4 linked regions of the Stegostoma tigrinum genome follow. The protein of the gene in region 3 purifies or fractionates together with the protein of the main gene of each other region. This does not show direct contact. Links are inferred from orthologs where the notes say so. Each region holds a gene or a part of one and is shown on either strand. Other genes may lie near its edges.

Region 1 (7,589 bases), on a different chromosome or scaffold from region 3:
ATCTCACCAGATTAAGCTATTTCCAAGTCATCTGGAGTCATGATTGGGTAAAGTTAAAACATCAATGCACGATGGGCCAAGGAGTAAAGACCTCTGACATCTCCCCTGTATCTACCTCCACTTGCTTTAAAACTATGCCCCCTGTAATAGCTACCTCCACCCAAGAAAATAGTCTCTGGCTGTCTACTCTATCTGTACCTCTGATCATTTTGTACTTTTCTATCAAGTCACCTCTCGTCCTTCGTCGTTCTAAAGAGAAAAGCCCTAGCTCTCTCAACCTTTCCTCGTAAGACCTTTCCTCCATTCCAGGAAACATCCTGGTAAATCTCCTCTGTGCCTTTTCCAAGGATTCCACGTCTTTCTTGAACATCGTTGGGATTACAACTGAAACTCAACTGGACTTCTCACATAAACACAGTGGCCACGAAGGTAGGTCAGAGGCTAAGAATACTGTGGCAAGAAATTCACCTCCTGACTTCCTAAAGCCTGTCCATTACCTACACGGCACAAGTTAGGAGTGCGATGGAATATTCCCCACTTGCCTGGATGGATGCAGCTCCAACAACGCTCAAGAAGCTTGACAGCGTCCAGGAGAAAACTCGATTGGCACAACATTCACAAGCATCCACTCCCTCCATCAGCAATGCTCAATAGCAACAGTGTGCACTATATACAAGATGCACTGCAGAAATTAACCAAAGATCTTTAGTCAGCACCAAACTGAATACCATTTCCATCTCAAAGGACAAGGGCAGCAAATACATGGGAACATCACCACCTGCAAGTTCCCCTCCAAGCTGCTCACCATTCTGACATGGAAATATATGGCTATTCCTTTACTGTTGCTGCACCAAAATCCTGGAATTCCCACCACAACAGCATTTTGGGTCAACTTACAGTAACATGGACAGCAGCAGTTTAAGAAGGCAGCTCACCACCACATTCTCGAGGGCAATAAATGTTGGCCAGCCAGTGATGCCCATGTCCGATGAGTGAATATAAAAAAATCAGAGCAGCCAGTTTGTGTATAGCAAACTGTCGCATAGAGAACAATGTGGTCATTACCACTCTGCTCTAAGATATTAGCTGCACATTAAATACCAGCATGACACTACAGCCAATTCCCTGTGCCATTCTGCTCAGAAGAGCAGGCTAGTCCTCAAGTTAACAAAAGTTAGCACCTCTGACAATGTTTTCCCTTTTAAATAAATGATTTGGATCTGAATACAAGAATGGCTAGTAAGTTTGCAGATGACACCAAAATTAGTGGTGTAGTGAATTCTGAAGAAGGATATCTCGGAGTACAATGGGGCCTTGATCAGATAGGCCGATGAGCTGAGGAGTAGCAAATGGAAATTCATTTAGATAAACATGTGGTATAATGTAAATCAGGTCAGGACTTAGGCTTTAGAGATAGCAAGAATGCAGATGCTGGAGAATCTGAGATAACAAGGTGCAGAGCTGGATGAACAGCAGGCCAAACAGCATCAGAGGAGCAGGAAGGCTGACGTTTCCGGCCTAGACCTCAGAAAATGAAGAAGGGTCTAGTCCGAAACGTCTGCCTTCCTGCTCCGCCTGTTGTGTTCATCCAGCTCTACACCTTCTTATCTCAGGACTTATGCATTATTTAGGGTCTGGGAAGTGTTGCCAAACAGGTTCATAATTCTTTGAAGGTAAACAGGGTAGTGAAGGCAGCATTTTGTATGCTTGCTTTTATTGGTCAGTGCATTTGTATAAGAATTGGGAGGTCATGTTGCAGCTGTCCAGGGCATTGGTTAGGCCATTTTTAGAATACTGTATACAATTCTGGTCTTCCTGTTGAACGGGTCCATTAAAGATTTACAACGATTTTGCTTGGATTGGAGGGTTTGAGCTATTGGGAGAGGCTAATTAGGCTGGGGCTATTTTCCCTGGAGCATCAGAGGCTAAGGACTGACCAGGTTAGATAAGGTGAATAGTCAAAGTCTTTTCCCAGGCTGGGAGGATCCAAAACTAGAGGAGATGATGGGAGAGGGGACAAGATTTAAAAGGGAGGTGCATGTATGAAGTGAGCTGCCAGAAAAACTGGTGGAGGCTGGTACAATTACAACATTTAAAAGGCATCCAGATGGGTATATGAATAGGAAGGCTTTCAAGGGATATGGGCCAAATGCTGACAAATGGCTCTTGGTTAACTTAGGGAATCTGTTCAGCATGGATGAGTTGGACTGAAACATGTTTCTGTGGTGTACAACTCTTAGTCTGTAAATGTTCCTTCAATGCTGCGTGTCAGTCAGGATTTCGATGCTCAAGTCTTGAAATTTGACTTGAACTCATACAACGATCTAACTCAGACACAGCTGATAAGGTATAGCGTGTAATTACAAAGTTGTTCCCTATGTGAACTTGCAACGACTTAACTATAACTGATTTTGTGACCACGAAATTTATCGAATCATTCCCAAAACCATTTTCATCTAATAACTAAATACATGTACCCCTTTAAACTGGTACAGAAATTGTGCCAGCTGTGCACCTGAGCTCGGGGGTACCAGATTAGATTTGAAATTTCCACTGCCCTTGCTCAGGACCCATCAGGAATCTGAAGCCCCCTTGTTCACTACCACAACAGGTGGCAAACATATCTCCTCCTGGCTACCAAATACCAGACGTGAAAATATACAAAGGCGATTTTCAAAAAGTGAAATATTCCGACGGTTTATCCTTTGCTGGAGGTGCTGTGGAGGAAAGTATCGTGGTATAGAAGGGGCGATAAATCGATGCAGAGAGTTCTGGCTGGGTGACTGCTAGGTCTGAGGCCTACTCCATTAAACTGCCTTTCTCCCTACCACTCATTACCGCCCGTCAGACTGTTCTCCCCGCCATTAACCACCCGCAGTGAGAAATACATTTATCACTACCTGGACTCTCTGCCCATTTCGAACGATTAAAGAGAACAAAACCAGCAACTCTCCACCTTCGCCACAATCCGATGAAGAAGGAGCGCACAGCGCCAAGAAGAAAGAAAAAGCCTCTTGGCTTCCAGCAACAACGCCACCGACTGACCGGAGGACCTAATGCCACACTATCGTTCATTGGGACCGATGATAAATTTTGTATTAGAGATAATGGGGACTGCTGACGGTGGAGAACCCGCACAGATGCTGCTTGCCCTGCTATGTCCATCCAGTTCCACAGTTTGTGAGAACAATTTTGTTTGCTTTGAGCACTTAACGCGGTCTCAGGGTCCCCTCAGTCTGGTCTGACCCATCTCCCACACCTCTTGCCTTCAGCCCTTATCCTCTTTCCCCAAATAGTAATAAGGCTCTGCTTGTTCTTACTTTCCACGCTGCTGGTCACCGCATTCAAAGGATTACCCTACTCCATTTTTGTCACCTCCATCAGGATGTGACTGCTGAACTCATCTTTACTCTCCTTCACTGTCAGCATTCCACAAGAACAGTTCCTTCCATGGTGCCCTGGTTCATTCCTGCAACACTCCGAATGCTCTCTCACCCGCTATGGCACCTTCTCAAGCAATCACAGAAGGTGTAGCATTTGCCCATTCTCCTCTTCCCTCCTTACTGTTCAAGGCCCTGAAAACACCTTCCAGGATACATCACAAATGCAAGGGCTAACACTCACTGAAAATGTAGCTAGTGTGTACCCAGTCACAGAGCAAGTTGATGAAAGCCCATTGCTGGCAGCAATCTTACTGCATTAATCAACCATCCATACCATATTTGAATTACAATGATGCACCAAAGATGCTTGTTGGCAAGGACTTTGCATGTGGCTTATGACTGTTGGACCTGATCACGAATTGATAGCAGGCTTATAACATTGTGGAACAAATGATTAATGTTACGAACAACTGTTCCATTGTCTGAAATTCCTTTCAGTATTTAACAAATTTGTGTTGGTCTATTGCATTGTCTATAACTTTTTCCTCATGAGGGCACAGGCCCTGTCAGCAGAGTGGGCAATGTGGAAAAGAAGAGGCAGAAGAGGAACAGATGGTGGTGAGTTGTCTCTGAGCAGATTCTCAGACTTTCGTTCCTTGGTAATCTCATTGCCACATCATCATTGTTTTACAAGTCCAGAGTCTTTTCATCTTCTTGGCTTAAATCCTGAAATGAAAGACAGCACAGAGCAAGTCTTTTTAAAACAACTTTCTCTGACAGCATTTCCAATGATATGTACAAAATCAAATTATTCACACTGCTGCATTTCTTAGGTGCCTGTTTTGAAGGTGTCTTTGCCTGGCCGAGTATTCATATGTAGTCGCAATGGCTGCAGCATGGCTGAAAGAAGGCTCGTAATCTTCAATGTTTAGGATTCATCTGTGATGTCATGCACAATTTCACTCTCCAGAGAGTAGACACATGAGCTATTCTTTCCCTCTGGCTTGGCTTATAACATTATAAGCTTTGCAGCCCACTTGTGCACTAAAGTGCTAATGCCTCTAAGTTATATTCAGCGCCATTATGTCAGCCTATCAGTAACATTATTTCTTTATAACATGCTGTTGCTCTCATCTTCGCAATGAGACACCACTAACTGGTCAGGTAGCAGATCTAGGGTATCTGAAAGTAGAAATGCAAAAGAGGAGGATTGAAGTGAGGTAAAGGAATGTGTTGAGTGGAAAGCTGCAGAATCATGCTCAAACCCTTTGCAGTTTGCACTACATGTCAGCAGGAAAGGCTGAGGTGGGATTTTAAAAGTGAGTAAGACAGGCGCATGCCTTCATCCAAGAATTCTCAACACTGCAGAATGCAAAGTCCGCAATCACTACTGTGTAATGTTTTCTCTCTGAAGGGTTCAAGGGCTGTAAGTTTGCCTGTTACATGTGAGGTCTATGCTGCTCTCTTCTGCTATATGCTGTCTTGTCCTACAGGAGAGAGGAAAGAATATCTGTAAGTATACTTAAACAAGTTGGGGTGACATGCCTGACATGACTGAATAGCTGTAGGTTTGTGAAATTAGAAGGAGGCTTTGCCAGCCTATTGATAAGTGTGTGAGAATGAATGCAGCATCTAATATTGGGCTTGAGTGTAGGAATACCAAAGATTCCTGGTGGCAGAGTAATGGGTTGTGTGCATTACACAGTGTGAGGAGTTGGTAGGTTGATGGATAACACGAGACATTAAATGATACACTCATTGACCTTGCTTACTTATGTGGGACCATTGAACGTTTGCTAGCATTGCTGTCAGGTCCTGGGCACTGGACTTCTGGAATTTGATAATGTGATCATTTATGCTCACATTTCCTTCATAGGTTGTACATTGAGGGTATCCTGGCCCTCTGTGAAGACATAACCATTCTACTTTTTCCAATCCCTTAAATTAAAGCCTCCCACTACTTTTCAGAAAATCCCTTTCACTGAACTGTGTTTTATTGATATTTTTAATCCTTTCCTCAAAGCCTCTCGCACAGAATTCCACCAGTTGCTCCCTTTAAGAAGAACAGATTGCCTTTAAGAAATACTGTCTGGCTGCAATTTGGTCGATTGATTGGTTGTTGTCATGTACCAAAATACAGTGAGAAGTATTGTTTTGAGTGTTACACAGGCAGATCATACCATACAAAGTGTATCAGGGCAGCAGAACAGAGTGCCAGATACAGTGTTACAGCCTCAGAGAAGGTGCAGAAGGAGCAAAAGATCAACATTAACATTTGAGAGGTCTGTTCAAAAGTCTGATAATAGCGGGGAAGAAGCTGTTCTAGAATCTATTCGTACGTGATTACGTTGGTTGCTTTCCTGAGGCAGCGAAAAGTACAGGTGGAATCAAAGAAATGGGAGGCTGGTTTGTGTGATGGACTGGGCTGTATTTATGACTTTGTCTAGCTTCTTGCAACCTTGGAAAGAGCAGTTGCCATGCCATGCTGTGATGCATCCAGTTAAGATGCTTTCTATGGTGTATCTGTAAAAAACTGGTAAGAATCCTTGTGAACATGTTGGATTTCCTTGGCTTCCTGAGGAAGTAGAGTGGTTGTTGTGCTTTCTTGACCATTATATCAATATGGGTGGACCAGAATAGCTTGTTGGTGACCATGAGTTGGTCATGCATTTTGTACTGTGTAGCAAATCCCAATCATTGAATTGACCCACTGGCATGATGTTTACATGCTGCCTGCATAATCTCAACTGGGCCTTGCTTGATCATTCCTTATGATATACACAACTCTCTAAGTGAATTTTACCTGAATCCATTCAAAGTAAATCAGAACTGAAGGAGAAATGATGATGAGATAATGATAAATACAAGAAAAATGATTGGAAAGGAAGAATCGGACATGGGGCACAACCTAATAGGGGCCTGGATGCCATGGGCTATGGCAAGAAATTACCACAATCACACAAGACAAGCGACATGTTGGGAAAAACTGCTGCGTCTTATAACTAGATTCTGGGTGTTGAGGCAAAATTCTAGCTATACAGAAGCAAATTATTTATCAGGGGTGAGTACTGCTTGTTAATGATGTTATTAACTGCACGTTTGACCTTATAAATTTGCAGCTTCCTGATTTACCACCCACTGTGAGCAAACTAGTCACCAAGATAATTCAACATGCAAGTCAAAGCAGGTACCTGGTGACTTCAGCTCACTGCTCACTCTGAAGAACCTCCATGTTGGGAACAGTTGTCAGCATCTCATGGGCAATGCTAATGTACACCCCATATCCATGGGCATTGGTGTCCAGAATGTGCCAGCCTTGAAGAAGCCTCATGGCACACCTCTAATCCATGCACAGTGCTCTTGAATTTCAATGTTGCACTTCACGATGCAATAGTAATTATGAGAGTAATACTGCAGCAAGGATACTTTGCTCTCAGCAACATGCACCCAGCTCATAAACTGAGCCACAATGCATCACCACCTGTTTACTTGGTCTGTTGGGGTGGTCAATATCAGAATCCTGTCCAAATAGAGAATGAGGAGACTATCACAGCCCATCACTCCACTTGGTCTTCCCTGTCCCACTGTGGGCCATTTTCGTCCTGGAATGAGAGAAGAGCAGGTGAAAAGGGGATAAAATTGGGTAACACTAATGCAGGTAGCAAGGTGTCCCGAGTGAGTGTTTAGGCAGTGCAGAAGACATACATGGTTCGTGCTGTCAGGTATTGCGATGGGCAATAACAAGTGACAGAAGATGTTGCAGGCAGTAATAAGAGTGGGAGGTGGGTGCAGTCGCCAAGATAGATTGAGTGTGATGCATTGGAGAGAAGGTGGTGGCACTTACGCTGGTAGAATGAAGAAGGACATTGACCTTCTTCCTAGTTGGCTGTGGATTTATCTAGACTGACCTGGGTGGTAATGTTAAAACCAGACCAATAGGGTCTGATATTGTGGCCTCCACTGCTGGGCCTGGGGAAAGAAAACTTCACTCGTCTGCATCATTTGTTGACTAGGACTTCCAAGACCCTGCCCTCAAAATAGGGAGACAATTTATCCTTGGCAGCATGTTAGTTTGTTTCAGAATATCCTGGCAATGGCAAACTGTTCCAGGAATAGCAAGTGATAGAATAGGGCTAGAGTTGTACAAGAGGGGCAATATATGTGGGGTAGGTAGTTAAGGAAGTGAGTTTGATACATGAGAACCTC
Region 2 (7,602 bases), on a different chromosome or scaffold from region 3:
GCTCACTGTTTAAAAACTCACAGGCCACCCATTTAGCGGTTAGGTAACTTTTACTCTGAAGGTCCCAGCTCTTTGAAATTTTCTTCCTGAAAAGGTGGTAGGAGCAGAGGCTTTGAATTTTTTTATGGCAGAGGTGGATAGATTTTCTCAAAGAATAAGTTAAAAAATTATTAGGATAGGTGGGAATGTGGAGGCAGGGTTACGTCAGATCAGCCATGATCTTACTGAATGGCAGAGCGGACTTGAGGGCCTGAATGACCTCCTCTGGCTCCTATTCATGTGTTTATCTGACACCACTGGGATTCAAACAGGTTTGGAGGGTGGTGGCAGCTTTGGGAGGAAGAAGCAGAGGTGAAGAAGAGGAGAGAAGTGAACTGGGCTGCAGCATCCAATCATTAGCTGGTTAGTACTGATCCATGGTCAGGGTCATCTCCTGTGAGGGGTTACTGAGTGTATCAGAAAGATTGCATACAGCTATTGTGCTCCCTAAAAGTCTGAATGCCCTTTCAACAAACTTCAGTGTACATCATTTTACATATTCCTCAGTATCTAAAATGTAGTAATGTTTCTGTGGAGACAGATCCTGTTTCATGTTGTGGAGGTGCCAATGTTGAACTGCAGTGGACAAAGCCAGAAATCTCACGACACCAGATTATAGTCCAACAGGTTTTGTGCAATGTCGTCTTTTTTCAGAACCGGCTTTTGGGCTACACAGACTCTTGACACAGTCTGAAGAAAGATCACTTGGAAAGGTACAGGAACCTCAATGGAATTTATTGCTTTAGAAAAGAGGGGACTGGAACATAAAGAGCCAGCAAAAATATTGATAAAGACCAACATTTACCCATGACATCACGAACAAATTCTGGTGGTGGCCGTGGAGCCCAGTCTTTGGGTTTTTCCAATATTGGCACTTGCTTCTCCTACAAGAAATTTGTGCAAAACTTTCGTTAATATCAAACATTTCAAACTGATACCTACACACACAATTTATCATAGGGTCCAGAAAAGCGCAGAAATTCATTCTGTTGGCAAAATTGCCCTTGCTTCTCACTTAACGCATAGATTGTGGGAAAATGTGAAGTTGTTCATCACAAAAGGGAGATCAAAAACACATCATGATACTTAAATGGACAGAAACTGCAGAAATCTGCAACACAAAGAGACACAGAAAGCTACCACATAGGTGCAGCAGGTAATCAGGAAGGAGTGTTGTTTCTTATTTCATGGGGATTGGAATATAACAGTAGGAAAGTTTCACTGCAACCGTAGAAGGTGCTGGTGAGACTACATTTAGGAGGACTGCGAGCAATTTTGTTCCCCCTATTTAAGGAGAGATTTGATTTAATTGGAGGCAGTTCAGAGAAGCTTCACTTGAATAAGCCCTGGGTAGGAGGGATTACTTTATGAGCAAAGGCTAAACAGATTGGGAGTCTATTCACTGGAATTTTAGAATAAGGAGGAATTGCATGGAATCATACAGGTTTCTTGAGGGACTGGAAAAAGTAAATGCTAAGAGAATTTTCTCCTAGTACGGGAGGGTCTAGGGCCAGACAGTACAGTCTCAGAATTAAAAGTGCCAGTTTAAACTAGATGAGAATTTCTTCTCTCAGAGGGTTGATAGTCTTTGGACTATCTATCTACAGACAGCTGTGGAGGCATAGCCCTTGTGTATATTTAGGCTAAGATAGTTAGATTTCTTGATCAATAGAAGAATCAAGGATTACAGGAAAAATAATGGAAAATGGACGTGAGGACTATCAGATCAGCAACAAACTCACTGAATGGCAGAGCAGGGTCAAGCAACTGAACAGTCTACTCCTGTCTGGTGGTCTTATGGTAACACTGAATTCTCACGCCATCTCGTCCCCATTGCCACTCACCCCTTCCTTAAGTTCAACAAATAATTCTAAACCTAATTTACTAATGTTCATTATGTTAAAAAAAAGAACTACATGGGCTGGAAATCAGACAAAAACAGAAATAGTGGAGACACTCAGTAGATCTGGCAGCATCTTTGGGACAGAAAGCACGTGTCAACGTATCAAGGCCAGTGATTCATCTTCAGAATAGCTGGATGACCATAACATTGAATTCCACACTACGTTTGAAACTCACTACTGTAGTCCCAAATAAGAATTTTCAACTTAAAGCAAATTAAATGGTAGAGCTGGCTGTAGTTGACTGGCTAAATAGACTAAAAACATGACAGTAAATGAACGGGGGGAAACACACAAGAAACAACTCATACCATAAATGGAGGATAGCCAAGAGACTAATAAATGTAAGGAACCTGAAGTACCCATTAACAGAAAATATGTTGGAGAAAATTAAGCGACTAAAACCCAACAACGCACAGGATCCACTAGCTTATGTCCTTGGGTTCAAAAAGAGAGACACAGAGGCAATGGACGCACTGGCTACGAGTTTTCAAGGATCCAGAAAAGACCTAATAACCTTAAGTTAGTAAGTGTAACATTATCATTTATGAAAGGAGAGTGAATACAAGAGAGTGGCTGATTGCTTGGTACACACCTCGCAGAGAGGAGGGGCAATGGGTCAGTTGGGAGGGCTGTAATTAGTAGAATGCCACAAGGATTAACAGAGCTCTGAAGCACTTATAATCCACATTAATAACTTGGACTAAGAAACAGATACATCAGTTTTGTCGATGATACAACCCTCGGTGGAATTGTAAGCTTTTGTTCACACACACACACACACGAGAACTGTGTGTGTGTGTGTGTGTGTGTGTGTGTGTGTGTGTGTGTGTGTGTGTGTGTCGGTATCGCATCTCCTCCCCCACGCCCGCTGTTTCTTTCTTTCTCCCCTCCTCTCAGGCCCTGGTTTTACTAACCGGATTCTTCATTAACCGCTCCAGCTTCAAACGCTGCTCCTCAGCCGCACTGCGCGGGATGACAAGCTGCTGAGCCGCCTTCTTCTGCGGCCGCTTACCGCCGTCCGCCATCTCCCGCCGGACGCGCGGCGATGACGTTGAACACCAGTCGGGCGCGCGGCGATGACGTTCGCCCCCGGTCTCCCCGGGTGATAAGCGTTGTGTTTCTCGTCAATCGGCCCCTTCATTCGGTAGGTGTGCACCTCCGGGACAAATCGGGGTTTTAATCTTCAATTCTTCACTACCTCTTAGAGTAACGGGGCCCCTGTGTGGTGGTTGTTGATTGTGGAGAGGTCACGTTGCAGACACAAAACCCAACTGTGGGGAAAGATACAGAGTTAACGGGTTACGATTCCACGCTCTGATGAAGAGTCACTGGATTCGAAATGTTACTTGTGTTTTGTCTCCATGGGTGCTGCCAGACCTGCTCAGTTTCTCCAGCAATTTCTGTCTTAGTTTTATACTTTTTTTGTCCACCATGGAGGTGAATCGCTGACCTATTTCAGAAGAGGCTAGCAGCGTGCTCCCTCAAGCCTGCGCTGATTTCCCCATCCCCTTCCCCCGCCCCAAGCGCCGAGAGTCTGTGCTGATTCTTCCCCCACCCCCCTTCCCAGGTCTGTACTGATTCTTGGCCATTAAAACTGTTCCACCATTCCTATATCATCGTAGCTTATCATCAATTCTGTCCCCACTTTCTCCCCATACCCTTCAATCCCTTTAGTCCGAGGAATTATATCTAACTTCTTCAATGTTTTGGCCTCAACCATTTTCTGTTGCAGAGAAGCCCACAGTTCTGGTTGAAGAGATTTCTCCTCATCCCAGTTTTAAATAGCCTACCGGGTGTGCTTAGACTGTGACCGACTGGTCATTGGCAACATCCTTCCTGTATTTAAATAAAAACCAAAAGAACTGCGGATGCTGTAAATCAGGAACAAAAACAAAGTTGCTGGAAAAGCTCAGCAGGCCTGGCAGTATCTGTGAAAGGGAAAACAGAGTAACGTTTTGGGTCCATTGACCCTTCCTCAGAACTGATGGCGGCTGGAAAAACATCTGTTTATATGCAGACAATAGGGAGGTGGGTGGTGTAGGGAGTAAACGATAGGATAGAGCCCAAAGAGAAAGACAGCTGGACAAAGGAATTGATAACAATCCGGCTGGGAGGGTGAGGTGTTGTTTCTCCAGCTTGCGTTGGTATTCACTGGAACACTGTGGCAAGCCAGAGACAGATGATGGCCAGGGAGCAGGGTGGTGCACTGAAGTTGCAAGCAACAGGTAGTTCAGGGCCTTTTTTGCGAGGAGAACGTAGATGTTCTGCAAAGCAGTCGCCAAGTCTACACTTCGATTTCCCCCAGTGTAGAGGAGACTACATTGTGAGCAGCGAATGAAGTAGACGAGATTCTGGGAAGTGCAGGTGAAGTGTTGCTTCACCTGGAAGGTATGTTTGGGTCCTTGGATACTGGGGAAGGGAGGACGTAAATGGACAGACTGAGGGGGCGGGGTGGAAGTCAGTACAGACTGAGGGGGTGGGGAGGGGGAAGCCAGTTACAGGGAAAGGCGCCGTAGTGCTGTGGGGAGGTGTTGGGGGTGAAGGAAGCAACACAACACAAGCTGGAGGAACAACACCTCATTTTCTGCTTGGGGACCCTACAGCCCGCCGGACTCAGTATTGAATTCAATAATTTTAGGGCCCAAATCTCCCATGTCCCAGCAGCCCACTCCACACAGCAGGCTTTGTTACCAAATAGCCTGCCATTACACACCCACTGTTGTTAGTCACTAACAGCCCCCATTAACAACTATTCACCCTTCTGGCCTGATCGTTAGGAACTTCTTTGTCTGTCCAACTGTCTTTCTCTCTTCGGCCTCTATCCTATCGTTTACTCCTTGCCCCACCCAACTTCCTATTTTCTGCATATAAACTGATGTTTTCCCAGACCCGAAACGTTAACTATGTTTTCTCCTTCACAGATGCTGAGCCATTCCAGCAACTTTGTTTTTGTTCCTTCCTGCAGTTACCTTGTCTGATCTGATTAGAATTTTTCATTTCACAAAACTCCTTTGAATCATACAGTGCAGAAGAGGCCATTCAGCCCATTGAGTTTGTGCCAACCTATCTATATGCAATCCGCTGTCTAGCACCTGGCCCATAGCCTTGAATGTTATGAAATTTCAAGTGCTTATCCGTGTACATTTTAAAGATTGACTCAACTACCTTCACAGGCAGTGCAGTCCAGATTCCCACCACCCTCTAGGTGAATGAGTTTTTCCTTAAATCCCCTGTAAACAGTTTTAATTGATCCAGTCTCTCTTCATACATTAGTTCCACCACCTCTGAATCAGTTGTATCCTAGGCTGCTATCAGAGATGAGGGAAGAAATTACAGGAGCTTTGACCCAAAGTTTTAAATTTCTGCCTGGCCCCTGGGAGACGCTAAAAGGACTAGAGGATCGCTAATATTCCACTTTAAAAGCAAGGCAAAGATAAACCAGGGAATTATATCAACAGGAGGGAAACCACTGGAGAAAATTCTAAAGGAGAGAATTAATCTTCACCTGGAGTTGCAAGGGCTGGTCAGGGATAGTTAATATGGCTTTGTCAGGCAGAAGTTTGCCAAACAAATTTCATTGAACTTTTCAAGGGAATGACCAAGTGTGTAGGTGAGTTTAATGCAGTTGATGTAGTTTATATGGATTCAGCAAAGCCTTTGAGTGGCCCACATTGGAAACTGATAAAGAAGGTAAAAGCACACGGGACCCAGGATAATGTGGCAAGTTGGATCCGAAGTTGGTTTAGTGACAGGAGACAGAGGGCGGTGGTAGAAGGCTGTTAAGGTTACTGGAGGCCGGTGTGCAGTGGCTAGCTACCACAGGGGTCAGTGCAGGGTAGCTTATTATTTGTAATATGTATATATAACAGTGTAGCAGAAAACTTTGGGGAAACAATGAGTTTGAGGATGATGTGAAGACTGGCTGATTGGTTGACAGTGAGGAAGAAGATTTTAGGTTACAGGATGATATGGATGGATTGATCAGATGAGCAGTTCAGTGACAAAGGGTAATCAACGCTGATAAGAGTGAGGTGATGCACTTTGGAAGGAGAAACAAGACAAGGGAGTTCTCAATAAAAATTAGGAGACTGGAAAGCTCAGACAAACTGAGGGATCTAGGCGGGGGCAGTGGTTGGGGGGGTGAGGTGCTTGACCCACAGATTCCTAAATGTGCAGAGCAGATTAATAAGGTAGTTAAGAAGGTATACAGGACATCTCAGTCCTGGCATAGATTATAAAAACAAGGAGATTATATCGTGGCTGTACAGAACTTTGGTTAGGCCTTGGCAAGAATACAGTGTGCAATTCTGGACACTAGGATGGAGTGCAGAGGAGATTGACCAGAATGTTGCCTTGGATGGAACATTCCAGCTATGAAGGGAGGAAGGATAAGCTTAGATAGTTCTCTTCAGAGCAGAGAAGGTTGAGGTGTACAGGATTATGAGGGGTATGGACAGATTGATAGAAAGCAGCTGTTCTCTTTAATTGAAGAATCAAGAACAAAGGGGCACAATATTAAGTGAAAGGCAGGAGGTTTACAGGGGATTTGGGGAAAACAAGAGTGATGCAGAGTTCTGAATTGCACTGCCTGACAACATTGTAGAGATGGAAAATTTCACAACATTTACAAAGTACTTGGATGAACACTTTAAGTTCAAGACAATGGACCAAGTGCTAGAAAGTAAGAGTCGTGTAGATTTAGAGTAGTTTTTGTCAGTGTAGACCCGATGGGCTGAAGGGCCTGTTCTCTACAGTATGATTCGATGATTCTAAAACGTGAGTGTCAACCTCATCCAGGCTGACATGGTCTGGAGTTGTGGTGTCCAATTCTGGGCACCAGAACCTCAGGTCCCTGCCAGCAAGTGGGGCACCATTTTGCACTTCTGTGCTGTGTCCAGGACAAATGTTAGGAATTGTGCACAGTAGCCCCAGAAAACCTGGGTAAAGATGGCACCAATACTAGGGATATCAGTCAATTCCTGGATATCACAGCAGGTGTGCAAGGCAACGCCCATCTAGATTCAAGGCAGTGGACATCATTAAGGCACATTTACAGGGGCTAATATATAAAAATGGATCAAAAATTAATGACTGACAGGAAACAGGAAGTGGGAATAACTGGGTCTTTTCCAAGCAGCAGGCAGTGACTTGTGGGGTACTGCAAGGTGGGAGGTGATGGCCTACTGGTATTATCGCTGGACTGTTAATCCGGAGATTTAGATAACGTTCTGGGGATTCAGATTCAAAACCCACCATGGCAAATGGTGGAATTTGAATTCAATAAATATCTGGGATTAAGACTCTAATGATGACCATGAATCCATTGTTGATTGTCAGAAAAATCCATCTGGGTCCTTTAGGGAAGGAAGCTGCCATCCTTGCCTGGTCTGGCCTACATGTGACTTCAGACCCACAGCAATGTGGTTGGCTCTGAACTGCCCTCTGGGTAATTAATGATGGGCAATAGATGCTGTCTAGTCAGTGACACCCTCATCCTGTGAATGAATAGAGAAAATAGAGATCAGTGCTTAGGCCCCAGTTGTTAATGATATATTTTGGGGCGGAACGGTGGCTCAGTGGTTAGCACTGCAGTCTCACAGCACCAGGGACCTGGGTTCAAATCCACCCTTGGGTGACTGCCTGTGTGGAGTTTACACAT
Region 3 (7,486 bases):
GCAACTTCAGGTTTGCTGGTCAACTGTCAGCCAAAGCAGCCTGACTGAATTGTGAAAAGTCAATTAACTGCACATCAGAACTCCAGGCTAATTTTCATACTTACAATTATACAGCCTTCTATCCTCATGTTGACTTGTTCATATAACCATACTTGGATCCTGGATCTCTAGAGTAAAGGAAAAAGGTAATTCAAGTCAGAAACAAATTATTTCCAACGAGTTTGAATAAAACAGTGCCTCTAAGCTGTGCAATGCTCCCTCAGTCATGTATTAGAGTCAGAAAAGACTGTGTTCAGGTCTCTGGAGTGGGTATGAACTCATGACTTCTGACTTAGTAAGAGAGCTGCAATTAAGTTGAGATTTAATCAGCCCTTTGCTGAATTACTGCAGCAAAGTCATTAATAAACTGCATTCACTTAACAGGTATGATAAACACCATTACCATGATGATTAATTATGTAAAATATTAAAAGTAAACAGCTTTACTTACATTCTGAAGGTACCTGAAAATAAGATTCTGTTGCACGTTCAGTTAAGGACAACATTTATAAATTATATAATGAACATCTCCATTATAAGATCTGCGTATCCCTCACATGCTATCTATAACCAGTCTGTGGTATGGTCACCAATCTAATGAAAAAATGATGCATAATACCTACCTCAAAACCGTTTACAGCTACAGTATTGATGTGTTTATTGATAGACATGAACATTGGCGTCTTTTCTAAAATGGCCATTAATTATGTCGCTCAAGTAATTATCTACAATCTATTCAACTGCACACCATCATAAACTCAATGTTATCCTCATCCCACATTCACAAACTAGTGTGTCTAGAATGCACTTCCTGGAGGATCAGGAAAGATAAACTCCAGTGGAATTTCTCTCCTTAGCCTTTAAAATTAAATACCGAAGTCACGTCCATGCCTAGCTCTTACAAAGATCACTGAAACAGTTCTTCCAAATTTGTACTGACAGCTATTCCACTACCTAGGTGACATTCGCATCTGAGACTGTGCACATGTATAATGACCAAATCTAATTTGCCTGATAGTTTAGATTCAGTATGTTTACAAAAGTTTCCACCCAATAAGGCTCCCAAGCCCACATTCAAAATTCTCCTGTGAATACAGCAACATTGCAATAACGTGCACTTGGTACCTTCACTTGAGCAAGGATATAACAACAGGATAACACTATTATACCAAAAATTGCTCTTACAAATATTGAGATTCACAATGGTAGTATAATAAACTAGATTCAAAATGATGCATAGCAACTATACTTAATTTATCCTGTAGTATTTAACTTCAATTCAAAGGTTTGTATAATGCATTCAATCCACCAATCCTACATTCAATCAATTTATTAAAACTCCTGGTCAAACAAATGTTGCAATGTGAAAACTTTCATCCTTGTTATAAAGTTCCTGCAGGTAATCTTGCTCAACCGTACAAATGTCTGCCCTCATCTGATTCGAGCCTCTTGAGCATCCTTAATTATGGTTATATTGCTATTTATGACTGCACATATTCAGCTGCTCAAGAGTCTTGTATTCCTACTTCACTTTCCTCCTTTCTACAAGACCATAATACATAGGAGTGGAAGTAAGGCCATTCGGCCCATCGAGTCTACGCTGCCATTTAAATCATGGCTGATCAGCATTTCAACTCCACTTCCCTGCACTCTCCCCGTTCTGACACACCACAAAGTCTACCTCTTTCACAAGGAGTTTGCCAGTTAACCAAATATGTCAAATGTCATGGACACAAATTTTGTCCAGTAACGCTCCTGTAAAGCGGCCTGGTTTTATACTATGTTAAAGGTGCTACTTATATGTCAACCATATTTGGTGAGGGCCCTCCACAGAAAACCGCTGAGCGATTGCCTTACGCTGCTGAAAACCCCACCTCAACAAACCATGCTGCATCAATTCACTAATTTGAACAATTCCCACAAGACAAGAGCAGAAATAGGCTATCCAGCCCAATGACAATTCTGCCATTAAACGAGAGCATGGCTGATGTGAGAACCTTCAGCAACAGAAACAAACTGCTGAAAAAGCTCACAGGTCTGGCAGAATCTGCAGAGAAAAATCAAAGTTAGTGTTTCAGATCGAGTGATCCTTCCTCAACTTTGTTATGCTGCCTTTACCCCGGTTACCCTGGATTTCCTTGCCCGATTAAAAATCTTTCTCAATCTCTAGTACACTCAATGCCACAGACTGCATAGTTCTCTGCTATAAAGAATTCTACAGATTCACTGCCATCTTGGAGAAATTCCTCCTCATCTCTGTCTCAAATGTACGACCCCTTACGGTGAGAGGTTATACCCTATGCTCCTTGACTTTCCCACAAGTTAATACAACCTTTTCTGCATCTTCCCTGTCAAATACGCCAAAAATCCCATAGATTTTAATAAGGTCGTCTCTCATTGTTCTGACTTCCCAAGGGTAACGGGCCCTCTCAGCCCGAGGCTCCACAAAACACGGGACGACCATAACTTTAAAACAAAACGATTTAAAAAGCCGTTGTTCAATGGGGCTGAGCACGAAGGCGGGCGGCACATGGAGCTTGTTGTGAGGAGCCGCTCGCCGTCCATCGCACGGTGGATAGACCCAGGGAGGAGGCCTCAGAGACAGACAGGGAAAGAAAGAGAGAGAAGGGAAGGCAAGAGAAGAGAGGCAGGCAGGGTGTAGGCCCCGAGGCCGGGTGCAAGCCTGGGCACAGGATCCGGTCCGGAGTCTCGGGTTCAGGCCCGAGCCCGGGGCGCCCAGTCACGGGCCGATCCTCCCTCCCTCCCTCCCTCCTCAGATCCGAACACCTCCCCACCCGCCGAAAGGATACAATGGGCTGCACCATCACTTTCTGCACTTTCTGCGCCTGCCCGCGGTACGCCATGACTTCGGCTCCGACCCGGCGACCGCCTCAAGAAGGGGGGAAAACACAAAAAGAAAATGGAGACAAAATGGCGGCTCCCGCTTCACGCACCGTGACCTCTGACCTTCCCCAGCACGGCGCGGCGCGTTCGGGAAGAGGCGGGCCCCCGCTGCTATGGTAACGAGGAGGCGGGGCCCTTGCTGCTATGGTAACGTGGAGGCGGCATCTGATACTAAGAGCAGTGACAATGGGAACTGCAGATGCTGGAGAATCCAAGATAACAAAGTGTGAAGCTGGATGAACACAGCAGGCCAAGCAGCATCTCAGGAGCACAAAAGCTGACGTTTCGGGCCTAGACCCTTCATCAGAGAGAGGGATGGGGAGAGGGTTCTGGAATAAATAGGGAGAGCGGGGGAGGCGGACCGAAGATGGAGAGTAAAGAAGATAGGTGGAGAGAGTGTAGGTGGGGAGGTAGGGAGGGGATAGGTCAGTCCAGGGAAAACGGACAGGTCAAGGAGGTGGGATGAGGTTAGTAGGTAGGAAATGGAGGTGCGGCTTGGTGTGGGAGGAAGGGATGGGTGAGAGGAAGAACAGGTTAGGGAGGCAGAAACAGGCTGGGCTGGTTTTGGGATGCAGTGGGTGGGGGGGAAGAGCTGGGCTGGTTGTGTGGTGCAGTGCGGGGAGGGGACAAACTGGGCTGGTTTTGGGATGCGGTAGGGGAAGGGGAGATTTTGAAGCTGGTGAAGTCCACATTGATGCCATTGGGCTGCAGGGTTCCCAAGCGGAATATGAGTTGCTGTTCCTGCAACCTTCGGGTGGCATCATTGTGGCACTGCAGGAGGCATCCACTGTACCCGGTGTGGCTTCCTCTACATTGGGGAAACCAAGCGGAGGCTTGGGGATCGCTTTGCAGAACACCTCCGCTCGGTTCGCAATAAACAACTGCACCTCCCAGTCGCAAACCATTTCCACTCCCCCTCCCATTCTTTAGATGACATGTCCATCATGGGCCTCCTGCAGTGCCACAATGATGCCACCCAAAGGTTGCAGGAACAGCAACTCATATTCCGCTTGGGAACCCTGCAGCCCAATGGTATCAATGTGGACTTCACCAGCTTCAAAATCTCCCCTTCCCCCACCGCATCCCAAATCCAGCCCAGTTCGTCCCCTCCCCCCACTGCACCACACAACCAGCCCAGCTCTTCCCCTCCACCCACTGCATCCCAAAACCAGTCCAACCTGTCTCTGCCTCCCTAACCTGTTCTTACTATCACCCATCCCTTCCTCCCACCCCAGCCGCACCTCCATCTCCTACCTACTAACCTCATCCCACCTCCTTGACCTGTCCGTCTTCCCTGGACTGACCCATCCCCTCCCCACCTATACTCTCCTCTCCACCTATCTTCTTTACTCTCCATCTTCGGTCCGCCTCCCCCTCTCTCCCTATTTATTCCAGTTCCCTCACCCCATCCCCCTCTGTGATGAAGGGTCTAGGCCCGAAACGTCAGCTTTTGTGCTCCTGAGATGCTGCTTGTCCTGCTGTGTTTATCCAGCCTCACATTTTATTATCTTGGAATTCTCCAGCATCTGCAGTTCCCATTATCTCTCATTAACAGCATTATCTGTTTTTTTTTAGTGGGGCCAGGGAAACTGAACTAACATTTACAGATATTTATTCTTTCAACCTATCTGGTTTAAAATTTAAACCGTGGCTGGCAGTTAACTGTAGCTGATAGTTATTTGTTGCATTAATTTCTTTGCCAATGTATCCATCCTTTAGCACCCTCCTCCCAAACAGATGAATGTTGGTTTTCCCATGGAATTAATGTTTCTTCTCAATGAGTGCAAGAAGAAAACTTCTGACAAAATGTGTCTTGTTTTATCATCAGCACTTCCTTATTGTCTGGTTCGATGCCTCACCATTAACGCTGTATTCTTCATAGACTGATTGAAGACAAGGCAACGCCTAGGACTATTTGAGACTTAGACTTCAGATCAACACTATTGATCATACTGAATGCCAGAGCAGGTTCAAAGACCCCAATAGCCTTTTGTGCTATTTTCTATATTTCCGTGTTCATTACATGTTAAATGCTGCTGTTTATGCTAATCATAGATAAATAAGGCTCTGAATTATTATGTTAGGTAAGGACTAATCTTTGTTGTGTCCATGTCCATATGCTTTCCAGACTCTAAAGTTCTAATCTAGTGTAGTATAATGAGGTGTAATACATTGTGTTCTAACCATGCCCTCAATGTGCTATTTACATTCAGTGATGTGTAACTTTGTGACATCGTTGCAATTTTGGTCTGCTGTTCACGCAACAAAAAGTGTTGGAGAAAATAAGCAGGTATGACAGCACATGTGGTAAGAAAGCAGATAAACATTTGAATTCAACCTGACTGTTCAGAAAACGAAACTTCCTCTCAACCAGACCCTTGAGACCAAGGATGATTTCTTTCTACTCAGTAATGTAAGAGATTATCTTTTTAGGTTACATTATATTTGATTGTGGATTGAAATGGGAACTATTTTACATCAAACAACTGAGGAAGAAACTGCTATACTTTTAAAAGCAAGTTACTGAACCTGTCTTAAGTCATGGATACACTGTTGCTTTGCGTGCATTCAAGGAGGGTGTCAATAGATAGCGTGGCACAATGGCACATGTACAAAGATTTTGGCCTGCGACAAGTAACTGATTGGTTTGTGGAATTGCGACCGGTTATGGATGCTAAATATCATTGACCTAACAACTACCAGATTGGTTTATGGATGCCGGTCAATTTGTGGTTGACTATTACATTGAGCAAGTAGTGAGAAACCATTAGACCTCTGGAAGAGGAGGTGGTGTGTTTCTCGCCGGTAAAATACCTGAAGCTAAGGAAAGCCATTTTTCTTTATCTCATTAGTTGCTATAAGCTATTGCTTTTAACCAATAAGGTAAACACCTTTTAATTTGTGAATCAGTCACTCTGTGCCTCCCATAAAGGAGTGAAAAACCTAAAGGATAAATTCAGAAAACTAAAGGACTTGGGAAACAAAGTGAACTCCTCCATTGAGTCCTGAAGATAGGTGCCCTTGAACTGTTTCACCAATATTCAATCCCCTTTCATCCAGACCTGTCATTTTTGTTTGCATGTATGTGTATGTAGGAGGTGTTTATTAAAACGGTTAGTAGAGTTATATCAGAGATAATGGGAACTGCAGATGCTGGAGAATCCAAGATGATACAATGTGACGCTGGATGAACACAGCAGGCCAAGGAGCATCTCAGGAGCACAAAAGCAGACGTTTTGGGCCTAGACCCTTCATCAGAGAGTAGAGTTATATGTCAGCTTTTCATTGATTCTCTCCACAGACAAACAACTATTCAATTCTAAAAAATAGTAGCCCATTATGTAGAGAGTTTGGCTCATGTTTTCTGTCAACGAGTTGATCAGACAGGAAAATTGGAAACTTATGATAACATTTTTAACTTTTAGCAGGGCTTGATTTCCAGAGGGCTATTCCAGCTTTGATTTGTGCATCCTGAGGTGACTTAGCAGTCCAATGTGAATCTGCATGCCCTGCAACTGGTGGGGGTAGTCAGGTTCAACAAGGTAGGTGTTCAGGTTGTTGGAAGCTATTTAGTTGATCCTACCCCTCTAGTCTTTCCCACATATATCCAGTTCTCTTTTGGAAGTTTGTAGTGTGCCAGCTTTACCCTTTCAGATAGTGTATTATAGAACATAAATCACAGTATTTTAAATTTTTCTCCTTCCGTCACTACTGATTCTTTCACCAGTTACTTTAGATCGGTTATCAAGCGTCCCCCTACTGTTATTCTAGCAAAATATTTCATGGTGTTATAAATGACTTTACTGAATTCACATTTTGTTTAATTTCTCCATCCCTGGTATCAAACTAATTAAGATCCTCTGCACCGAAAGCCTAGATCTCCTTCCTATAATGCGGCCCATGGAATTAGACTCAATAGTCCAGCTGGGCCTGTTTGTGAGCAGAAGACATTTTCATAAAGCAAAGAATTCCATGTCTTTTTAATAGCTTTCTGTGCTTTTTATTTTCAAAGACATGTATGGACAGTCCAAATTTCTGTTCCTGAATTGGCCTTTGTATTTCTTTTGACCAAAATGTAATAATTCACCTTCATATGTTAAATATCATCCACCATACATCTGCCCATTTCGCCAGTCCATAAGTTTGTTTACGACCTTTCTCAAATTTGTGTCATGTACAGACTTAAAAGTTGCCACATGCAGTGATCCTGAAGTCAACCACTGGGAAATGACATTGTATTTTTCAGACAAATGACTGTTCACTATTACTCAGATCGAAGAACAGAAAATTTCTTCACAGCTGATCAGGCACCAATCATGTAATGAAGCAGATCTATCAGGTCGAGGTAACAAGGTGTAGAGCTGGATGAACACAGCAGGCCAAGCAGTATCAGAGGAGCAGGAAACATCAGCCTCCTTGCTCCTATGATGCTGCTTGGCCTACTGTGTTCATCCAGCTCTATAACTTGCTTTCTTGGATTCTCCAGCATCTGCAGTTCCTATTATCTCTATCAGGTTGACCCTTCATTAGAAGTGAGGAAAGC
Region 4 (6,980 bases), on a different chromosome or scaffold from region 3:
ATTGCAGTTTATAGGCAGAAGAAAGGTCCACAGCACAGCACACAATGCAATCTCACATGCAGGCATGAGATGAATGGCAGTCAATCTGCTTTGGGAATTAGTTGAAGGTTGAATATTGGCTAGGACACAGGGAAAAAGCACCCACACTTGGCAGATTATGGAAGGCAGCATTTATAGGTGAGAGAAAAACAGAAAAACTACCCGTGTTCTGATGAAAGGTCATGGAACAGAAACATTAAATCTGTTCCACCAGAGGTGATGCCAGACATTGCCAACATTTTCTATTTCATAGAATCCCTACAGTGTGGAAACAGGCTATTCAGCCCAACAAGTCCACATAGACCCTCTGAAGAGCATTCCACCCAGGCCCATTCCCTCTACCCTATCTCTGTAATCCTGCATTTCCTGTTGTTAACCCACCTAGCCTGCACATCCCTGAACACAATGGGAAATTTAGCATGGCCAATCCACCTAACCTGCACATCTCGGGACTGTGGAAGGAAAGTGGAGTACCTGGCGGGAAACCATGTAGACACGGGGAGGATGTGCAAGTTCCAGTTGCCTTAGGATAGAATTGAACCTGTGTCCCAGGCACTGTGTGGCAGCAGTGCTAACCGCTGAGCCTCTGTGCCCCCATTTCTGCCAGTATGCACCAATGTAGAGAAACCAGAATTAGATACTTACTGTGGACCATCCTGGATCAGCGAGGGTACATATTTATTAATAAGGAGCCATTGCAAATCTTTGTTGAAGCTGGAAATATGAGAAAATCAGAAAAATGTTCAGCCATTGGAAAAGAATCTATCACTTGATAGCACACTTGGGCTCTGATATTAAACTGCAATAGTACATGAGGATGCACTGTTAACCTATAATAACACATAAAGGATGCATTGCTTAGTCTATAAGAGGGCAGTAACTTGGCCAAGCCATTAACTTCGCACAGTATACAGAGTGTTACAACCAAGATTGGAGCGGGGCATCAATTTCCCTTTAGTCCCACTCCTCCACTGGTCATAATGAATTTTAAACTGTGTGGTGATATGGCCAATTCAATAGGCTTTACATTGTATCTGACTTAGTGCTAGAAATAATTCAGCCAGTTTCTTAAGTTAACAATTAATACCTAGTTTATTACAAATAAAACTTACTCAGACAAAAGTGTAAATGTAAACATCAAAAGTGATTGAGTCAGATCCCATGGATTACTCAGCAACTACCTACCCACCCCTCCCCGCTCTCAGGATGTCAGTGACATTGTGGGTTACTAAGTCTCATTTTAAGACTTCACTGTTGAAGAACTGGCCTTTAAAGTACATCAAAAACTACTCCATCATGCATTGCCTCAATGATTGCTCAGTTTCTGGTAGCTCACCACCTGTTCCAGGAGTGACACTCCTCTGGATTCTGGAAACCACACTCTAGCATCGTCACAGGTGCAAATGCATCTTTTTTCGTGGACAGCTAGCTTTATCAAGTTAGTACCGCCCTTGATTTATTTTTCCTGAGCTCTAACATTTGTCAGTTGTACAAAGTGTTACTTGTGGGTTTCCATAACCTTGCTCACAACTGTATTGAAATATTAATGGCACGTGGCTTTTTCCAAGGTCTCTCAGCCCCTAGGACGTACCTGAAGACCAAACTCCAACACATAGCTGTACCGACAATCCTAGATCTCTTTCCTGAGTTTTGACCGCAGAGTTATTCGACTGTGTTTGACTTCTCAGAGATGTTTTTAGGAAGTTGTACTACACTTGAAATGTTAATTGTGTCTCTCTACAGATTACAGAATCCCTACAATATGGATGCAGGCCATTCGGCCAACTGAAGCCACATCAACCCTCCAAAGATGCAGTTGTTCATTAACATGCGGAAGGAAGCAGAACACCATTGCTTCAATTAGAAATCACATTGATGATGTTGCCTAGAAGGGTAACAGAATGTCTGCACACCACAGAACAACCAGCTCAGTGCGCTAATGAACAACTGCATCCACAACCCGAGCTACAAATTTTCGCTAAGACCTTAAAAACCATTTAAAGAGTATCCCACCCAGACCTCGCCTATCCCTCCATTTCCCATAGCTAATCCATGTCTGGACACTATGGGCAATTTAGCATGGCCAATCCATCTAAACTGCATGTCTTTGGCCAGTGGGAGGAAACTGGAAACCCATGCAGACATGGGGAAGAATATGCAAACTCCAGACAGTCACCCAATGCTAGAATCGAATCCAGGTCCCTGTCGCTGTGAGGCCACTATGCCACCCATATGCTGCCAGAACTGCTAGGTTTCTCCAGCACTTCTTGTGTTTCAGGTTTCCAGCATCTCCAGAATCTTGCTCTTATTTAAACAACTGTGACAAACATGGCTCATAATTTTTAGTTTTATATACCTGTTAGGCCTGCTCTGGACCAGCAACTTCACCTCCTCCCAGTCTCCAGTTACTGGTAATCGGTCTTGAGCAAAAATCTGGTATAATTTATTTTGTGATGGTTCAGAAGGAGGGGACAGAAAGGGTGGAGGGAGGGGGGGAGGAGGAGGAGGGACTGACAAATAGTCTGTACCATCAGATGTGTCACTGATGAGATTTTGCTCTCCTTGTGCCATTTCAACATGATGGAGGTGGGACATGGCAGCCCACTATTTAACGTTTGGCTTTGACTTGATAAATTGGAGCATCCCACAACAATTTTTACGAGTAAGTTGCCTCAGTAACTAGTACACCAAGGGTCAGAGATACTGTTGTAATATTTGCCTTGGAGGAAAAAAAATCATTATCATTTATCACTTATTGTTCCAGAAAATATTTGTCTTTTATATTTAATGGGGGAGTTAGGGGCAGGAGATGGGGTGAGTGGTGGAGGATTTGGGAAAGTAGTCTCAGTGGGAGTAATGAAGACTCCATGTTGAGGGAGAAGGGGGGCATGGAATAACTGCATGACATTCAACAATTTAAGAAAAATGATGTGAGGTCCATCAGGAAATCACAGACCCGTTACTATCTGCTGTCAATAAATTGCCTGAATCCACAAATTCAAAATTTCTGAGCATAGAGCCAGCACAGATTTATAAAGGGTTAGATAGCAGGGAATAGTGCTAGTTGTAACAAGGACTGGATTTGCAGAAAAGAAATCAACACAGAAGAGTGGGCGAACAGTGGTTGGAAGCTGGGTCAGTTGAGGTAGAACTGGTATGGGACATGGGGTAATTTGGGGATGAAGTAATTAGGGAATGGGATGGCTGGATGGAGAAACAGTAGTTAGGGAAGGGGTCGATTAGGGATGGTCAGGGAAAATGAAATCATTTGAGGGATGGAGTAGTTGTGAAGGGGTGAGGCAGGGGTATTTTGAGGTGTTGGAGGCAGGGTGGGATGATTGGGGTTGTATAGTTAGGTAGAGTGGAGTGATTCGGGTATTGTGGAGAGTAACGGGGCACTTTGGGGTGAGGTGTGATTTTTATTGTGGGATTGGACTGTGCAGTTTGGGGAGGGGTGGAATGGTTGGAGTAGTTTGGGATGTAACTGAGGGATGGGAATAGTTGGTAAGGTGGCTTTTGGGGTGAGATTGGAGTTGGATCGCTGGGGAGGTTGGAGGGCGATTGGTGATGGGGTGGAATGGTTTTTGGGGAGAGGGAGGGGATTGAGGTGGGTTGGGGTTATTTGAGGTGTTTGGTGTTGGGGAGTGTCGGATAGGGGAATAAAGTAATTGGGGGATAGGATGGATGCAAGTGTGTGTGGGGTACTTAGGAAAGCGGAGGGTCGGGAATTACTGAACACGTTCTAGAACATTCCGTCCCTGAATCCCACTCTACATCCCGCGATTGGCCACGGTGGAATGGCCAATTTGATTGACACCGGTCTAGTCCAATCAGTTCTCTCAGATCGGGTCTGTGCTGTTGAATGGACCCAGACCGTTAGCGAGTCACTGATTCCCCTCTCCCGCCCTCTTAGCCGCTCCTTCTCGATCTCTGTTTCTGTTTCTGTCCTTTCTCACTCCCCGCCGGAGCCCGAAACGTCAGCTTTTGTGCTCCTGAGATGCTGCTTGGCCTGCTGTGTTCATCCAGCCTCACATTTTATTAGCTGGGGAAACCATCCGGGTCCCGCGGGGACACCGACCCTCCCGCCTTCGTCTGATTGACGGGACCGCGGACAAATCGGTGAGCGGCCCCGCACCAGGGCCGGCCAATGGGAGCTGGCCGCGGGGTGAGGGGGTTGGACTTCCGTCGTGGCGCGCGGTGCTGGCGGTTAGGGCCCGCGACCATCCGCTGCCATCCCCCAGCGTTTAGAGCCGGCGGCCGCCCGCAGTTAGCCTGATCGTCTCTGTGTGCGGGAGCTCGCATCGCGTCGCACGGTCGGTTCTTTAGAGCCGCGGTCTCACCAGGTTCGTACGGAGCAGCCTGCGGCGGAACCACGGGTTAAAGCTTCCGCCGACGGGCGGTAGCTTCCGGTTCAGGGCCGATGGAGGTAAAGAGAGGGCGGAGGGTTGGCTGAGAGGGAGAGAGTAGGCCAGGGGTAAAGGGTGAAGGGTGGTAAGGCAAAAGGGAGGGCTGAGTGGCTAAAGGAATGTGAGAGAGGTTGAGTTGATGGGTGGGCGTCTAAGGATACAGCGTATGCCAGAGGAGACTGAGATGATGAGAAATTCCTCCACCCGCAGACTGCTACTACTGTGGTTTTCTGTGGTACAGAAAACAGGCCAAAATACTACGTTTCAAGAAGGAGTTGGATTTGGTGATTTGGGCTAAAGGGATCAAAGGACATGGGGAGGGAAAGGTAGGGTCAGGTTGTAGAGTTTGATGATCAGATGTGGTTGTAGAGAATTGTGCAGCAGGCTTGAAGGGCCGAATGGCCTCCGCCTGTTTTTTATGTTCGTGCACAGAGGGGGCTGTGTGAGCTCTCAGAAGGAGAGGGGGGTAGGCTGACCTTTCCCTCAGAGGTGGGGGAGAGAAGGGGCTGTCTTGCTTCTCAGAGCGGGTGAGCTTGGATGAAGGATGTGAGAGAAGGGGTTGTTTAGTAATCCTGTCTCTGGGTAACGGGCAAAGGAAGGACAATACGTACTCTTAACTTTGGGATCTAGGATGGGGTGTGCTTGAGTTGCTTTAGAGCAATTTAGGGATGTGACTTACATTTCTACCACTTATAGCCACACATTGGGCTGCAGTCCTTTGAATCTGGGAGCGGTGTTAGCGGATGAGAATGGATACGTTTGGCAGCCACCTTTTGTCAGCTTTGGTTCTGCACAGTAACCACATGTAATGCTAGCATGCTGAGCAGCATTTCCTCTCAAAGTGTGTATACAACCACAGTGATTAGTGTTGTTTTGCTGATCAAGACATTGACTTCCAATTCTGGAAGTTGCTGCTGCATTGAGGCTTTGGAAGTTCAGGCAGCCATTAAAACAATTAAGGAGTGTGGTGCTGAACTACAGTGAACAGGTTGAATTCTGCTGATCATCCTTGGTCTGGACTATCAAACCTTTTAAGATTTATTGAATGTCACAGCTTGCCATTGTTGATTTTGAGCTCATGATTTCTGAGTTGAGTTCAACTCTGAGATTTGCCATAATGAAGTTAGAGAGAGGTTTATTTCTTTTGAAGAGTGACATCTATGAGACTGACTTTCACTTGTGCTCATTTCCCCCCTCAGTTTTAATTTTAGTTAGCGCAAGAGTAGAGCCATGACTACCCAAGAGGCCCGTCCAAACCACACCATCTACATCAACAATTTGAATGAGAAGATCAAGAAAGATGGCAAGTATTCAGGGATAGTTCTGGTTCAGCAGTGTATTCGGGTATGTTTGGGTTGGGGACTTCGAGAGCATTAGTGGGGTCTAAGACAATAAATGCTGGCACAGTTAGCAAAGTGTGTACTGAGAGTGAATTTTAACAAACTGCTCCTCATCCCCTCATGTTTATTTAGTTTCTTAAAGGAAATTTCTCTCAACTATCCCTGCGGTGGGAAGTTCTGACTAAGCATAGCTTAAAACAACTTTCTCCCAGTTTCTTTATTGGAATTATTAATAAGTACCATGTATGACCCGTTGTTTCGGAGTGTTCAACAGCCATATGCAAGGACTGTTATAGAGTCGTACAGCATGGAAACAGGCCCTTTGATCCAACTCGTCCATGTGACCCAAATTTCCCAAACTGAACTAGTTCCAACTAACTCCTTTTGGCCAATATCCCTCTAAACCTTTCCCATTCATGTACCTGTCAAAATGCCTTTTGATTTATACATTTAAAAGGCATCCTGAAGGGTATGTGAACAAGAACGGTTTACAGGGAAATGGGTCTAGATTAATTTAGGGTATCTAGTCAGCGCGGACGAGTTGGACCAAAGGATCTGCTGCCATGCTGTACATCTCTATGACTCTGTGTTGTAACTGTACCTGGATTTGCAGCAGTTGCCGTTGAGTCCCTTCAAATCAGGCAGTTGTCTATTTTGTTGAATATGTCCCAAATGTTAAAGACCATAGTGCTAAAGATGACCCCTCCCTGGCTCTAGCCTCTTTGTAGAAAAAAGAGCCCCAGTCTGCCAGTCATCTCTAACACAAACATATCATTTAGTGTGAGTTAACCACTCAACCCCTAAAGTCTGTTCATTCTTTCAATAAGATCATGGGTGATCTGATAACTCCACTTTGCTTACCCACAAAACCCACTCTCCAAATATGGTGTCTCCAATGCCCTGTATAAATGAAGCATAACTTTGTTTTGTAACTATAACCATGGTTCTGGTGTCATTCTTGCAAAGCTTTGTTTGCATCTTCTGTATTGTTTTTGTAAGAGGTTGACTGGGCTTTGCACAATATGACATTATGAATCAACCGCATTTACTGGACATTCATGAACTTGAATTGTGGTTTCAAGTTCACGTTCAAGTCTGGTCGCAATTGTACTTGTGACTGATTTGAAACTGAAGTTGATTGTGTTATGTTTCTTCTCTTTCTAGAGTTGAAGAAATCGCTGTATGCCATTTTTTC

What was found.
Region 1: the proteins of snrpe (region 3) and ddx46 purify together in Homo sapiens (co-immunoprecipitation; 3 studies listed by BioGRID and IntAct, counting the BioPlex papers as one, with this or other methods). This does not show direct contact. The link is inferred for Stegostoma tigrinum from reciprocal best matches to the Homo sapiens genes SNRPE and DDX46.
Region 2: the proteins of snrpe (region 3) and prkrip1 purify together in Homo sapiens (co-immunoprecipitation; 3 studies listed by BioGRID and IntAct, counting the BioPlex papers as one, with this or other methods). This does not show direct contact. The link is inferred for Stegostoma tigrinum from reciprocal best matches to the Homo sapiens genes SNRPE and PRKRIP1.
Region 4: the proteins of snrpe (region 3) and snrpa purify together in Homo sapiens (co-immunoprecipitation; 4 studies listed by BioGRID and IntAct, counting the BioPlex papers as one, with this or other methods). This does not show direct contact. The link is inferred for Stegostoma tigrinum from reciprocal best matches to the Homo sapiens genes SNRPE and SNRPA.

The regions. Positions count from the first base shown.
Region 1 is NC_081366.1:30,953,584-30,961,172, reverse strand, and holds the start of ddx46 (probable ATP-dependent RNA helicase DDX46), read right to left. Parts: upstream 3,023-7,589; 5' UTR 2,918-3,022; coding exon 2,901-2,917; intron 1-2,900. UniProt on the Homo sapiens protein: Component of the 17S U2 SnRNP complex of the spliceosome, a large ribonucleoprotein complex that removes introns from transcribed pre-mRNAs.
Region 2 is NC_081380.1:2,597,342-2,604,943, reverse strand, and holds the start of prkrip1 (PRKR-interacting protein 1 homolog), read right to left. Parts: upstream 3,005-7,602; 5' UTR 2,969-3,004; coding exon 2,858-2,968; intron 924-2,857; coding exon 845-923; intron 1-844.
Region 3 is NC_081374.1:11,214,700-11,222,185, forward strand, and holds the start of snrpe (small nuclear ribonucleoprotein E), read right to left. Parts: upstream 3,019-7,486; 5' UTR 2,904-3,018; coding exon 2,850-2,903; intron 518-2,849; coding exon 491-517; intron 168-490; coding exon 105-167; intron 1-104. UniProt on the Homo sapiens protein: Plays a role in pre-mRNA splicing as a core component of the spliceosomal U1, U2, U4 and U5 small nuclear ribonucleoproteins (snRNPs), the building blocks of the spliceosome.
Region 4 is NC_081392.1:9,170,240-9,177,219, reverse strand, and holds the start of snrpa (U1 small nuclear ribonucleoprotein A), read left to right. Parts: upstream 1-3,974; 5' UTR 3,975-4,158; exon of another isoform or gene 4,159-4,465; intron 4,466-4,507; exon of another isoform or gene 4,508-4,771; intron 4,772-5,644; 5' UTR 5,645-5,675; coding exon 5,676-5,748; intron 5,749-6,949; coding exon 6,950-6,980. Other genes in the region: actmap (actin maturation protease), read right to left, coding at 685-753, 2,396-2,634. UniProt on the Homo sapiens protein: Component of the spliceosomal U1 snRNP, which is essential for recognition of the pre-mRNA 5' splice-site and the subsequent assembly of the spliceosome. U1 snRNP is the first snRNP to interact with pre-mRNA.